3 linked regions of the Lonchura striata genome follow. The protein of the gene in region 1 purifies or fractionates together with the protein of each later gene. This does not show direct contact. Links are inferred from orthologs where the notes say so. Each region holds a gene or a part of one and is shown in the gene's direction. Other genes may lie near its edges.

Region 1 (3,740 bases):
AAGAAATACAGCACCAAGAGTCAGAGTGGTCAGGCCCTTGGGTGAGAGGAAAGTAACACCAACAAGGAACCTAATAATCATTGATCCATCATTATTTAATTATGCTTGGACAGCACAGACGGTGTGTTCTGCCAGCTGAACCCTCCTGCGGCCGGATTAAGAGGCCTGTCAACTGTATGTGATCCGCAAAAAAAATACTGCTGCCAACCAGCTTGCAAAGGCCACAGCACATCCTCCTTAATGTCAGCTGTGTTTACACCAGTGACCTTATTTTTAGTGCCCGCTCCTGACACAGGGGTTCAGTTATTTATTCCTGCCACGCTCGGCACGCCAGCCGCTCCGGTGGGTGCCGCACGAGCGGGGCTGGCTCGTGGCTCCCGCTCCGCTCCCGGCCGCGCTGCCGCCGTGGAGGGGAGGCAGCGCCGGGATGCCAAGCGCCTGCCGGCTCCCGGCGGCCGGGAGCGGTGACGGGACCGGGGCGGCCCGGCGCTGCCCGTGCTGTGGTGTTGCCCCCGGTGTGTCTCGGAGGTCACCCAGGGGTCCCCGTGTCGCGCTCACTGCCCGCCGCCCCCGCTGGTGCTCAGGGGACCACAAGAACCCCGCGCCGCCCACGCCCCTGGCGCTGCCCCGGGGCCCAAACCGGGGCCGGGCAGGGCAGGGAGCAGACATGGGCATTTGCACGTATCCACAGGTTTTCCCGCGCGCCGTGGGCGCTTTTCCGTGGCCCTGGATGGGGACGGAGCAGGAACGGGAGCGGGGCGGGCCGGGGCAGGGCAGAGGGGGGTGGCCTCGGGGGCGGGGCCGCTGCCGCGGCGCTTAAAAGCGCGGCCGGCGGAGCCGCCGTCGCCGCTCACCCCGCCCCTCGCCGCTCCGTGTCTCGGTCCCGGCCGCAATTCCTGCTGCGCCACAGCCATGGCGGCGCTGACGGTGAAAGCCTACCTGCTGGGCAAGGAGGAGGCGGCCCGCGAGATCCGCCGCTTCACGCTGCCGCCGCCCGCTCGCTACCGGGCCATCTACGACCGTGTCGCCGAGCTCTTCCAGGGGCTGCTGCGGGCCGGGCCGCCGCCCGCCTTCCGCATGCACTACAAGGGTGAGCGGGGCTGGGGCAGCTGCCGGGTCCCGGGGTGGCAGATCGCGGGGCGCGGGGCTCTGGCTGCCCCGTTACCCCACCGGGCGCCTCATCCTGCGCTTCGCCCTTTCCAGATGAGGACGGGGACCTGATCGCTTTTTCCAGCGACGAGGAGCTGGAGTTGGCGATGCCCTACGTGCGGGATGGCGTGTTCCGTGTTTATATCAAAGGTACGGGTAGCAGCTCCGGAGGGCACGGCGGGTCTCGGCTGAGCCTCCTGGCAGCGCTCCCAAAGCGGGAGAAGCCAGCCCCGGCCCTTCCCGTGTCCTCGAGCGCCGAGTGGAAGCTGCGGCCTCTGCGGGGGAGGTTAAATAAAGGGCAGTGTAATGTGACGGAACATGAATTTGAGGTGGGATAAACAAACCACAGGTTTCCTCCTAGCCCTATCAGCTGGCCCAGTGTGAGGCTCTGTTGTCATTCTCGTTCCCTGGATACACTAAACCAGTGGTGGTATCCTAAATATTCAAAACAACATGTTAGCTTTAATTCCACTTTCCCAGTGCGTAGTTGCTTCCCAGTCCCTTGTTCATGTAGAAGCCCTCAAAGCTTTATCTGCAGTCCATCTAGTGAGCCACACCTGTTGTCCCCATTCTCATGTTATGCTTCATGGCATCTGCATTCCTAACTCCTTCTCCAGAAACATTTTGTTCTTGCAGTGCTTGGGAAGGTAGGGTGAGAAGCCAGATGAGGTGGTGCAGTGCTAATCTAAAAAAAGTGTGCCAAGGGATATTTAGGATAACGTAGGCTTGGTTTCAGGAGGAGGTATCTTTGCAAAACCTCTTTGCACGTGGTTTAAGGTCTCTTACATGAGCCTGGCTTAGGTTTGACAGCCAGTGTAAAAATAAACTGACCTAGTAAGTCAACACTGCTCGGACGGGCTGTTTGTGCTTCCTCCTCGGCCTGACTTCAAGGCCGTAGATAGTAATCTGATCTTGATGTGGAATTTCCCTTCCTTAACAGAGAAGAAGGAGTGCAAGCGGGAGCACCGCTCGCAGTGCAGCCAGGAGCCGCCCCGCAACATGGTGCACCCCAACGTCATCTGTGATGGCTGTGAGGGACCTGTGGTGGGGACCAGGTTCAAGTGCAGTGTCTGTCCAGACTATGACCTGTGCAGCACCTGTGAGGGGAAGGGCATCCACAAGGAGCACAACATGGTGATGTTCCAAAGCCCACTGCTTAATCCGTTTGAGGTGAGCAAAATCTATGGAAGGCAACTGATGAGTGAGAGATTCCTCAAATTCAAGTCAGGCGTTTCAGTTGCTCAGAACTCGCTGTCACACGAATGTCACCCTTTACAGTGGATTCCCCGAGGACGCTGGCTCCGTAAAATGCGCCATGGTGTTCCACCTTTCCCATGGATGCACTGCTGGGGGTATCCTGGGCCTGCAGCTCCCTGCCAGAACTCGGAGCAAGCTGAAGCCACCGCTGAAGCCACCACTGCAGCCCCCAGTGCACCTGCTGCAGAAGGTGAGAGGAGGTGCCCTGGTAGACAGGGTGGTGGTGGAGCCTCAGACCAGCTGAGGTTCTGCAGCATAGGGTAGAATCTGGGTGGGAGAACAAAGGAATTGGCACCTTTCAGCACAAAGTGTTATTACTTTAAGGTGTGCTTGGGTCCGTGCAGTCAATGAGGATGCAGATAAAGTATCTGGAACCCAACCAAGCTGAGCTGTTAGGTCAAGCATGTCACTATTGTACTCCAGACCTGCCTTTCAGCATGGCTGATGAGCCATAATAATGCTAATACTGGCTTTCTGTTCCAGAGGTAGCCCAGTTAGTTGTTCTCTGTAGTGCTTTGTTCTGTAATGTATGTCAGTGACAGGAATGAGCTTTAAGCTCCTGTGGGGACACACCCTCTGCAGGTGCCCTTTCCCTCAGAGCTTGTGTGTGCTAACAGAAATTGTTTTTCTAGAAGCTTCTACTAACAGCCAGCCTCAGGACCCCAATGTCACCTTCCTAAAGAATGTTGGGGAGAGTGTTGCAGCTTTTCTGAGTCCCCTGGGTAAGTGATAATGTACAGTTTGTTACCAGTCCCTGAGACTGGCTTACAGGTCTGTTTAACAGGAGCAGCAGTCAGTTGTTGTGACTGGTCTTCAAATTACCTCCTGTCCTAAGCCTCAAAGGCTTAGTTTATACTTGGATACTAATAATGCTTAGGCTTAGAACAGTTGCTCAGTACCTTTTATTTGAAAAAAATGAGGAAAAATTTCAATAATGTGTCAGCCCTTTAAGTCAGTGGTGACTCTAGATTTTGCCTGGTTTATGTGGACATAGATGTAACTTCTGCCCTGCCTTTAAGTATTTGGCTTGTCTGTGTGGAGGAAGATGGCTGTTCAGTGCTTAGCTATTCTTTAGTAAAGAAGGCTTTGCATTTTAATTCCTGCTGTTACATGGCAGATTGTAGGATGACAGAAACCTTAAGAGTGTAGAGCAGGATCGATCCATTTAGGGCTGTTTTGGAAAAAAAACCTCTTACCACTTTGTCTACCTTAAATGCTTTTCTAGGTATTGAAGTTGATATCGATGTGGAACACGGAGGACAGAGAAGCAAAGTGACTCCCACTTCTGCCAACCAAGAGAAGACCGGTGCTGAGGCAACCAGCAGTGCTCCAAC
Region 2 (3,740 bases), on another chromosome or scaffold:
TAGGCAACACCTCAATCCCAAATTCCCATCCCGATCCCAAATCCCCTTCCCAGTCCCAGAATCCCCATTCCAATCCTACATCCCCATCCTGATCCCACATCCCGATCTGAAATCCCCATCCCGGTCCCAGATCCTGATCCCAAATTCCCGGTCCCGCATTCCCGGGCACCGCCTCACAGCTCCGCCCTCCCTCTCCCCTCCCTGTCCCCTCCCTGTCCCCTCCCTGTCCCTCCCTGTCCCTCCCTGTCCCCTCCCTGTCCCTCCCTGTCCCTCCCTCTCCCCTCCCTCTCCCCTCCCTGTCCCCTCCCTGTCCCTCCCTCTCCCCTCCCTCTCCCCTCCCTGTTCCCTCCCTGTTCCCTCCCTGTCCCCTCCCTGTCCCCTCCCTGTCCCTCCCTCTCCCCTCCCTCTCCCCTCCCTGTCCCTCCCTGTCCCTCCCTCTCCCCTCCCTCTCCCCTCCCTCTCCCCTCCCTGTCCCTCCCTGTCCCCTCCCTGTCCCCTCCCTGTCCCTCCCTCTCCCCTCCCTCTCCCCTCCCTGTCCCCTCCCTGTCCCCTCCCTGTCCCTCCCTCTCCCCTCCCTCTCCCCTCCCTGTCCCCTCCCTGTCCCTCCCTGTCCCCTCCCTGTCCCTCCCTCTCCCCTCCCTCTCCCCTCCCTCTCCCCGCTCCTCCTCCCGCCGTTCCCGTCCCCGCCGCGCCCCGCAGGTACCGGGAGGGACCCGGGGACAGACCCGGGACAGACCCGTGGACAGACCCGGGACAGACCCGGGACAGACCCGGGACAGACCCGGGCCAGACCGGGGACCCGGGGGGGGGACCCGGGGGGGACCTGGGGGGTCCCGGGGACAGACCGGAGCCCCTGCCCGGGGAGAGGGGCCGGGTGCGTTTTTAGGGCGGGGTGGGAAGGGGGTTCCCTTGGCTTCGGGGGCTCAGCCAAGGGGGTTTTGGGGTCCCAGCCAAAGGTTTTGGGGTCACTGCCGGGGGGGTTTTGGGGTCCCAGCCAAAGGTTTTGGGGTCACTGCCGGGGGGGTTTTGGGGTCCCAGCCAAAGGTTTTGGGGTCACTGCCGGGGGGGTTTTGGGGTCGCTGCCAGGTAGATTTTGGGGTCTCAGCCAAGGGGGTTTTGGGGTCACTGCCGGGGGGGTTTTGGGGTCGCTGCCAGGTAGATTTTGGGGTCTCAGCCAAGGGGGTTTTGGGGTCTCAGCCAGGGAGGTTTTGGGGTCTCAGCCAAGGGGGTTTTGGGGTCTCAGCCAGGGAGGTTTTGGGGTCTCAGCCAGGGAGGTTTTGGGGTCTCAGCCAAGGGGGTTTTGGGGTCTCAGCCAGGGAGGTTTTGGGGTCTCAGCCAAGGGGGTTTTGGGGTCGGTGCCAGGTAGATTGTGGGGTTGCTACCGGGGAGGTTTTGGGGTTGCTGCCAAGGGGGTTTTGGGGTCACTGCCAAGGGGGTTTTGGGGTCTCAGCCAGGGAGGTTTTGGGGTTGCTGCCAAGGGGGTTTTGGGGTCGGTGCCAGGGAGGTTTTGGGGTTGCTACCGGGGAGGTTTTGGGGTCTCAGCCAGGTAGATTCTGGGGTCTCAGCCAAGGGGGTTTTGGGGTCTCAGCCAGGGAGGTTTTGGGGTCCGGGTGTCCCGGCTTTTCCCTCTGTCGGGGCAGGAAGGGGCGGTGGCCATGGCGGCACGGAAAGCGTTTTACTTTCACTTCCACCGGCGCTCGGGAACCCGAGATTCCGGGAAGATCGAGAGCTCGGGAGGGTGGCGAGGGAGCGAGGGGCGGGACAGCAGAGCCCCGAGCGGGATCTGTAGCTCCGACCCCCGACCTGCTCCATCCCGGGGGCGCATCCCCGCAGATGGAGACGGAACCGGAGGCACAAGCGGCACCGGAGCAGCAGCCGGAGCCGTGCCCGGCCTCGAGCACCCCGGCACCGGCCTCCCCTCCCCATCACCCCGCCGAGGGCGAGGATGAGGAGGAAGAAGATGACGATTTCCAATTCCTGCGCTGCGACGGCTGCGGGCAGGAGTCGCCTCAGCCGCGGCTGCTGCGCTGCCTGCACACGCTGTGCCCGGCGTGCCTGAGCGACACCAAGCAGTGCCCGCGCTGCCGGGCGGCCGCGGCCGTGCCCGCCGTGGACAACCTGCTCTTCTGCAACCTGCGGAGCCGCCTGCAGCTCTGGCGGCAGATCCGCAGCGCCGGCGGGCCGGGCTGCGGGCACTGCCGCGCCGAGGCGGCGCTGGTTTGGTGCCAGGAGTGCGAGGAGTTCCTGTGCGGGCGCTGCCTGGAGGAGCACCAGTGGTGGCACAAGAAGAAGGCGCACAGGGTGCGCAGGGTGGAGGAGCTGCGGGCGGGCTCGGCGCGGCAGTTCCTGGAGGACACGCGCGGCTCCTGCAGCCTCTTCTGCTCCAGCGACAGCCACCCCGAGGAGAGCCGCGTCTGCAGGTGGGAGCGCCTCGGCACCGCTGCGGGCGACACCGCGAATCTCCTCCTGGCCCCAGATCTTGTCCTGGCCTCAAAGCTTGTCCTGGTACCAAAGCTTGTCCTGGTACCAAAGCTTGTCCCATCCCAAAACCTCATCCTGGCCCCAGATCTTGTCCTGGTACCAAAGCTTGTCCTAGCTCCAAAGCTTGTCCCATCCCGAAACCTCGTCCTGGCTCCAGATCTTGTCCTAGCCCCAGATCTTGTCCTGGTACCAAATCTTGTCCCATCCCAAAACCTCGTCCTGGCCCCAGATCTTGTCCTGGCTCCAAAGCTTGTCCCATCCCAAAACCTCGTCCTGGCTCCAGATCTTGTCCTGGCTCCAGATCTTGTCCTGGTACCAAAACTTCTCCTGGCCCCAAAGCTTGTCCCATCCTGAAACCTCGTCCTGGTACCAAAGCTTGTCCTGGCCCCAAATCTTGTCCCATCCCAAAGCCTCGTCCTGGCCCCAGATCTTGTCCTGGTACCAAAGCTTGTCCCATCCCGAAACCTTGTCCTGGCCCCAGATCTTGTCCTGGTACCAAAGCTTGTCCTAGCTCCAAAGCTTGTCCCATCCCGAAACCTCATCCTGGCCCCAGATCTTGTCCTGGTACCAAAGCTTGTCCCATCCCGAAACCTTGTCCTGGCCCCAGATCTTGTCCCGTCCTCAAAATGTATCATGGCCCCAAATCTTGTCCTGGTACCAAAGCTTGTCCTAGCTCCAAAGCTTGTCCCATCCCGAAACCTCATCCTGGCCCCAGATCTTGTCCCGTCCTCAAACTGTATCATGGCCCCAAATCTTGTCCTGTCCCCAAATCTCTTCCTGGCCCCAAATCTTGTCCTGGTACCAAAGCTTGTCCTGGCCCCAAAGCTTGTCCCATCCCAAAACCTCATCCTGGCTCCAGATCTTGTCCTGGCTCCAGATCTTGTCCTGGTACCAAAGCTTGTCCTGGCTCCAGAGCTTGTCCCATCCTGAAACCTCGTCCTGGTACCAAAGCTTGTCCTGGTACCAAATCTTGTCCCATCCCAAAGCCATGTCCTGGCCCCAGATCTTTCCTGGTCTAAGATCTTGTCCTAGCCCCAGATCTTGTCCTGGCCCCAAATCTTGTCCCGTTCTCAAACTTCATCCTGGTCCCAGATCTTGTCCTGGCTCCAGATCTTGTCCTGGTACCAAAACTCATCCTGTCCTCAAATCTCACACGGGCCCCAAATCTTGTTCTGGTCCCAAAACTTCGTCCTGGCCCCAGATCTTGTCCTGGCTCCAAATCTTGTCCTGTCCCCAAATCTCATCCCATCCCCAAACCT
Region 3 (3,740 bases), on another chromosome or scaffold:
TCTTCACACCTCTTTAGCTCTTATTCCCTGTCCTCTTTCTCTCCTCCCCTTTTCACTACCCCCTTCTTGCTCCCATCTGTTTTCCTTCTTCCTCCTTTGACTTTTTCCTCCTTTTCCCTCTCTTGGGAGCAGACCCAGCCTCCCCACGCTCGGTCCCGGGGCTGTGCCGGCGCTTCGGGCCCCTCCATCCCTGCGTGAGCCCATCACCGGGGCTCGGTTCCCCGCTCGCCCGGGGCTGTTTTCCGCCCCAAACCCTGCACCGCCCCGCAGCCGCATCTCCCCGGGCCGGGGTTAGTCAGCAGGGAGGGGAAGCCGTGCCCTGCCCGGGCTGACTCACCCCAAAACTGGGTGCAGGGCAGGCTGCACCCCCTCCCACCTGGGGATGGTGCCGCGGGGGGAGTGGGGAGCAACATTCCCGGTGCCCTAGCGGGAATAATGAGTCGCCAGCCGGGAATGAGGCTCGAGTGCTCATTCCGGGAGCCGCCAGGATGCTCCGGGCCTAGCAGCCGGGGCGCCGCCATGTTGATGCACCCCATGGCTGTGGGGCACACCATGAGACCCTAAATCCACGACGCCCCATGTTTGTGGGGGCTTTGGGACCACCGTGACCAAGCTTGGGGTATCCTCGCTGTCTCTCACTATGCCCACGGCGAGGGAAGACGCCGAAAGAAGAGGATTTAAAAAAGAATACAAATAAACCCAGCGCAGAGGGCGTTGAGTTAGAAGACTACATCTCCCATCGGCAGCCGCGGCGGCGCAGGCGCAGCGCAGGTGGGCGGGGCCGCGGCGCGCGGCGCGCGTTGCCGCGCGGTGATTGGCGGGCGGAGCTGTCCGTCAGGCGCTCCGCCCCGCCCCCGCCGCGGCGGTGCTTGCCCGGGCTCGGCGGGCGCGCGCACCGGGACCCCGCACCGGCACCGGGGACCCCGCACCGGCACCGCGCCCCCTGCCGGCCCCGCCCCGCGCCGCGCCCCGCCGCCGCCACCGCCGCCCCGGGACCGGCCCCGGGACCGCCGGCCGCGCCCGCCCCGCCCGGTACCGCGCCGCCGCCACCGCCGCCGCCGCCGGCCCAACCATGATGAAGTTTCGGTTCCGGCGGCAGGGTGCCGACCCGCACCGCGACCGCCTCCGCCACGACCTCTTCGCTTTCAGCAAGGTGCGTCTAGGGCGAGCGGGGGGCGCGGCGGTGGATCCCGGGGGGCGGCGACCGCCGGGAGGCACCGGGGGTACCGGGCAGGGTGCGGCGTGCGGGCAGCCCCCCGGTGGCGCGGGGCTCTGGTACCCCCGCGGGATGCCGCCCGCGGGGAGGCGAGCAGAGTGCGGGGCACCGCCCCCCGGGACCGGCTGAACCCCCGGGGGAGCCGCGCACCGGGACCTCCCCGCTCCCGGGGAAGGGGCACGCGGGAACGGCGGGGCTGCCTGGCCCGGGGATCCCGGGACGGGCTGCTGGGCCGCCCCGGGAGGATGCACACCGGGGGTGGGTACCGGGAGCCCCCGGGTGCGAGATGCGCCCCGGGGTGCGGACCGGGGGGCTGCGCTCCTCCCCGTGCGGTGCAGGGGGGCACTCCGGGAGAGGATGCGACCCCCTGAGCAGCGCGACATCCCGGTCCCCAGCCCCTCCTGGGGGGGCTCCCGGAGCGCCCCGGTTCCCGCACTCCCCCCTGTCCCGTGGATCCCCCGAGGCCTCGCTCGCGGGCGTTTTGGGGTGACCCGTGGTCCCACACCCTGTCTGGCCTTGGAGCATCCCTGGCTGCATCCCCCATGTGGGGCTCAGCCCCCCACTCCCGTCTCCCCAGGGGTGGGATACTGGGGGGCTGGACCCCCTGTGTCAGCCGGAAGGGCTGTGCCAATGACCCCCTGGGCTTTTGGGGTGCCCTGGCACCCCAAAGATGCGTCTCTGTGGGGACATGAGAGGTCAGCTCTTGCCCCCCTCCTCCCTCCGAGTTTTACCACTTGCCTCCTTCATTTGGGGTGGGAGCGACCCCCAAGCTCATCAAACAAGCCCTGAGGTGCCAGACCCTTCCCTCGGGACACCGGGCTGTGCCTGGGACTTGGTGCACCTTGTCCTGGAGGCGCCGTGGTGGCCTTGGGACCGTGCTGCTGCCCTGCCCGCGGGGCATGAGACCACCGGCAGTGCCCCCTGGATGCGCCCAAACCGTGCCCGTCTCTCCGTCATTCGGCCGCGTCCCGGCACTGCCGTGGGGTCCTTGCCCAGCTCCTGCTGGGGACGCACCGGGGCGACCCCCGGCTGTCCCACAGCGGGGTCGGGTGTGCAGTGCTGAGGGGTCAGCGCCCCGCACAGCCCTGGCCCCCCAACTCTCTGCCGTGGATCCGGCCGGGGTGCAAGGCTCAGCCCAGCCTGAGCCCCCCTGTTTTTGGGGAGCACAGTCCCGCGGCCGGATCCTGCCCGAACGAGTGCCCAGGGCGGGTGTGAGCAGTGGGATGTCCTGGGGGGAGGCTGAGGAGAGCCCCTCTCCGGCCGTCCCAGCCCTGGGGCCGCGGGCTGCCCACCTGCCTCCCATTAAGGGTTGTTTTTCCTCCCGAGCTCCAGATCTGCCTGGGATTTGCTGTAATTTGGCCGGGAGCGCGCCTTGGCCGGCCGGCACAGCCTGCCGGATGCGGCCCCGCTGCGGGCGGGAGCGGGGGCTGCGGCGGGGGTCCCTCCTTTTGGGACTGGGAGTGCTGGGGAGCTGCGACAGCGCTTTTTGGGGACTCTTTGCCCGTGTCACCGTGTTGGTTTCTGGCCTAAAGCATCGCTGTGGTGCTGCTGTCCCAGCTCCGTCCTCCAGCGCAGCGTGCATCCCGGGGGGATTCAGCATGACCCTGCGTGGGTGGGCACCCACGAGCACCCACTTCCTCGCCCCTTGGACGCGTTGGGACCCACTTGGATGGGCCGGGACGCCTGGGATGGGCTGGGGGCGTTTTCACGCTCCTGGAGGTGTCCCCTGGGAGGGGAGCAGGAGCTGGGGTGCCGCCGGCGGGTGCGCAAAGCCGCCCCGCTGCGCCTCTCGGATGCCCCAGACAAAGGGAGCGGGTCAGGATCCGGCCAGTCTGGCTCCGGCGGCCTCCGTATCGTCTGATCGCGCCGTCGCCGCTCCGCCGAGCTGCCCTCGGGAGCCCTGCGGTCCCCGCGCCGGGGCCGGGCCGGTGGGTGCCCCCCGCGTCCCCCCGCTGCCGGGGCAGCCCCTCCCCGGCCGGCGAGCCCGGGCACGCCGTTCGGCCGGGACTTCCTTGGGAAGGTGCCCTGGGGCCACGCGCGGCTCCGGCGGGGACGTCCCTGGCGCTGGCGGGTCCCGCTCGCCTGGTTCTGCCGCCCGGCATCGGGGACGCCCGGTGATGTCGCACTGGGGGTCCCGCTCGCCTCCCCTGGGGTGTCCCCACCTCCGAGGTTCAGAGCAGGGGGGTCCCACCCCCAAAGTGCCGGCGGGTGGTGGGGCAGCTCGTTCAAGGTCAGCCCTACCCCGCTGTGGCTGTTGGGCTGGGTTTTGGAGTGCTGGGTGGAAATTGGGTGAGGAGTGATGTCCCCTTTCCCCGGGGCCCTCCTTGGTGGCACTGGGGGACAGAGCAGCATCTTCGTGATCCCCCATCTCCGGGGTGATGCTCAGGCTGGTGCGGGATCGCAGCTGTGGGGGCGAGGGGGGCTGTGGAAGGTTTGGGGGTGTCCGAGGTGGGGGGGGTCCCGCTCTGACCTGCCTGTCCCCATGGCAGACGGTGGAGCACGGCTTCCCCAGCCAGCCCAGCGC

Evidence for each region.
Region 2: the proteins of SQSTM1 (region 1) and PML purify together in Homo sapiens (affinity purification with western blotting; 3 studies listed by BioGRID and IntAct, with this or other methods). This does not show direct contact. The link is inferred for Lonchura striata from reciprocal best matches to the Homo sapiens genes SQSTM1 and PML.
Region 3: the proteins of SQSTM1 (region 1) and LLGL1 purify together in Homo sapiens (affinity purification with mass spectrometry; 3 studies listed by BioGRID and IntAct, with this or other methods). This does not show direct contact. The link is inferred for Lonchura striata from reciprocal best matches to the Homo sapiens genes SQSTM1 and LLGL1.

The regions. Positions count from the first base shown.
Region 1 is NC_134617.1:6,704,410-6,708,149, reverse strand, and holds the start of SQSTM1 (sequestosome-1), read left to right. Parts: upstream 1-851; 5' UTR 852-912; coding exon 913-1,090; intron 1,091-1,203; coding exon 1,204-1,299; intron 1,300-2,089; coding exon 2,090-2,319; intron 2,320-2,427; coding exon 2,428-2,596; intron 2,597-3,038; coding exon 3,039-3,128; intron 3,129-3,294; exon of another isoform or gene 3,295-3,631; coding exon 3,632-3,740. UniProt on the Homo sapiens protein: Molecular adapter required for selective macroautophagy (aggrephagy) by acting as a bridge between polyubiquitinated proteins and autophagosomes.
Region 2 is NC_134613.1:6,279,689-6,283,428, reverse strand, and holds the start of PML (protein PML), read left to right. Parts: upstream 1-1,568; 5' UTR 1,569-1,833; coding exon 1,834-2,420; intron 2,421-3,740.
Region 3 is NC_134618.1:15,722,159-15,725,898, forward strand, and holds the start of LLGL1 (lethal(2) giant larvae protein homolog 1), read left to right. Parts: upstream 1-1,033; 5' UTR 1,034-1,072; coding exon 1,073-1,153; intron 1,154-3,705; coding exon 3,706-3,740. UniProt on the Homo sapiens protein: Cortical cytoskeleton protein found in a complex involved in maintaining cell polarity and epithelial integrity. Involved in the regulation of mitotic spindle orientation, proliferation, differentiation and tissue organization of neuroepithelial cells.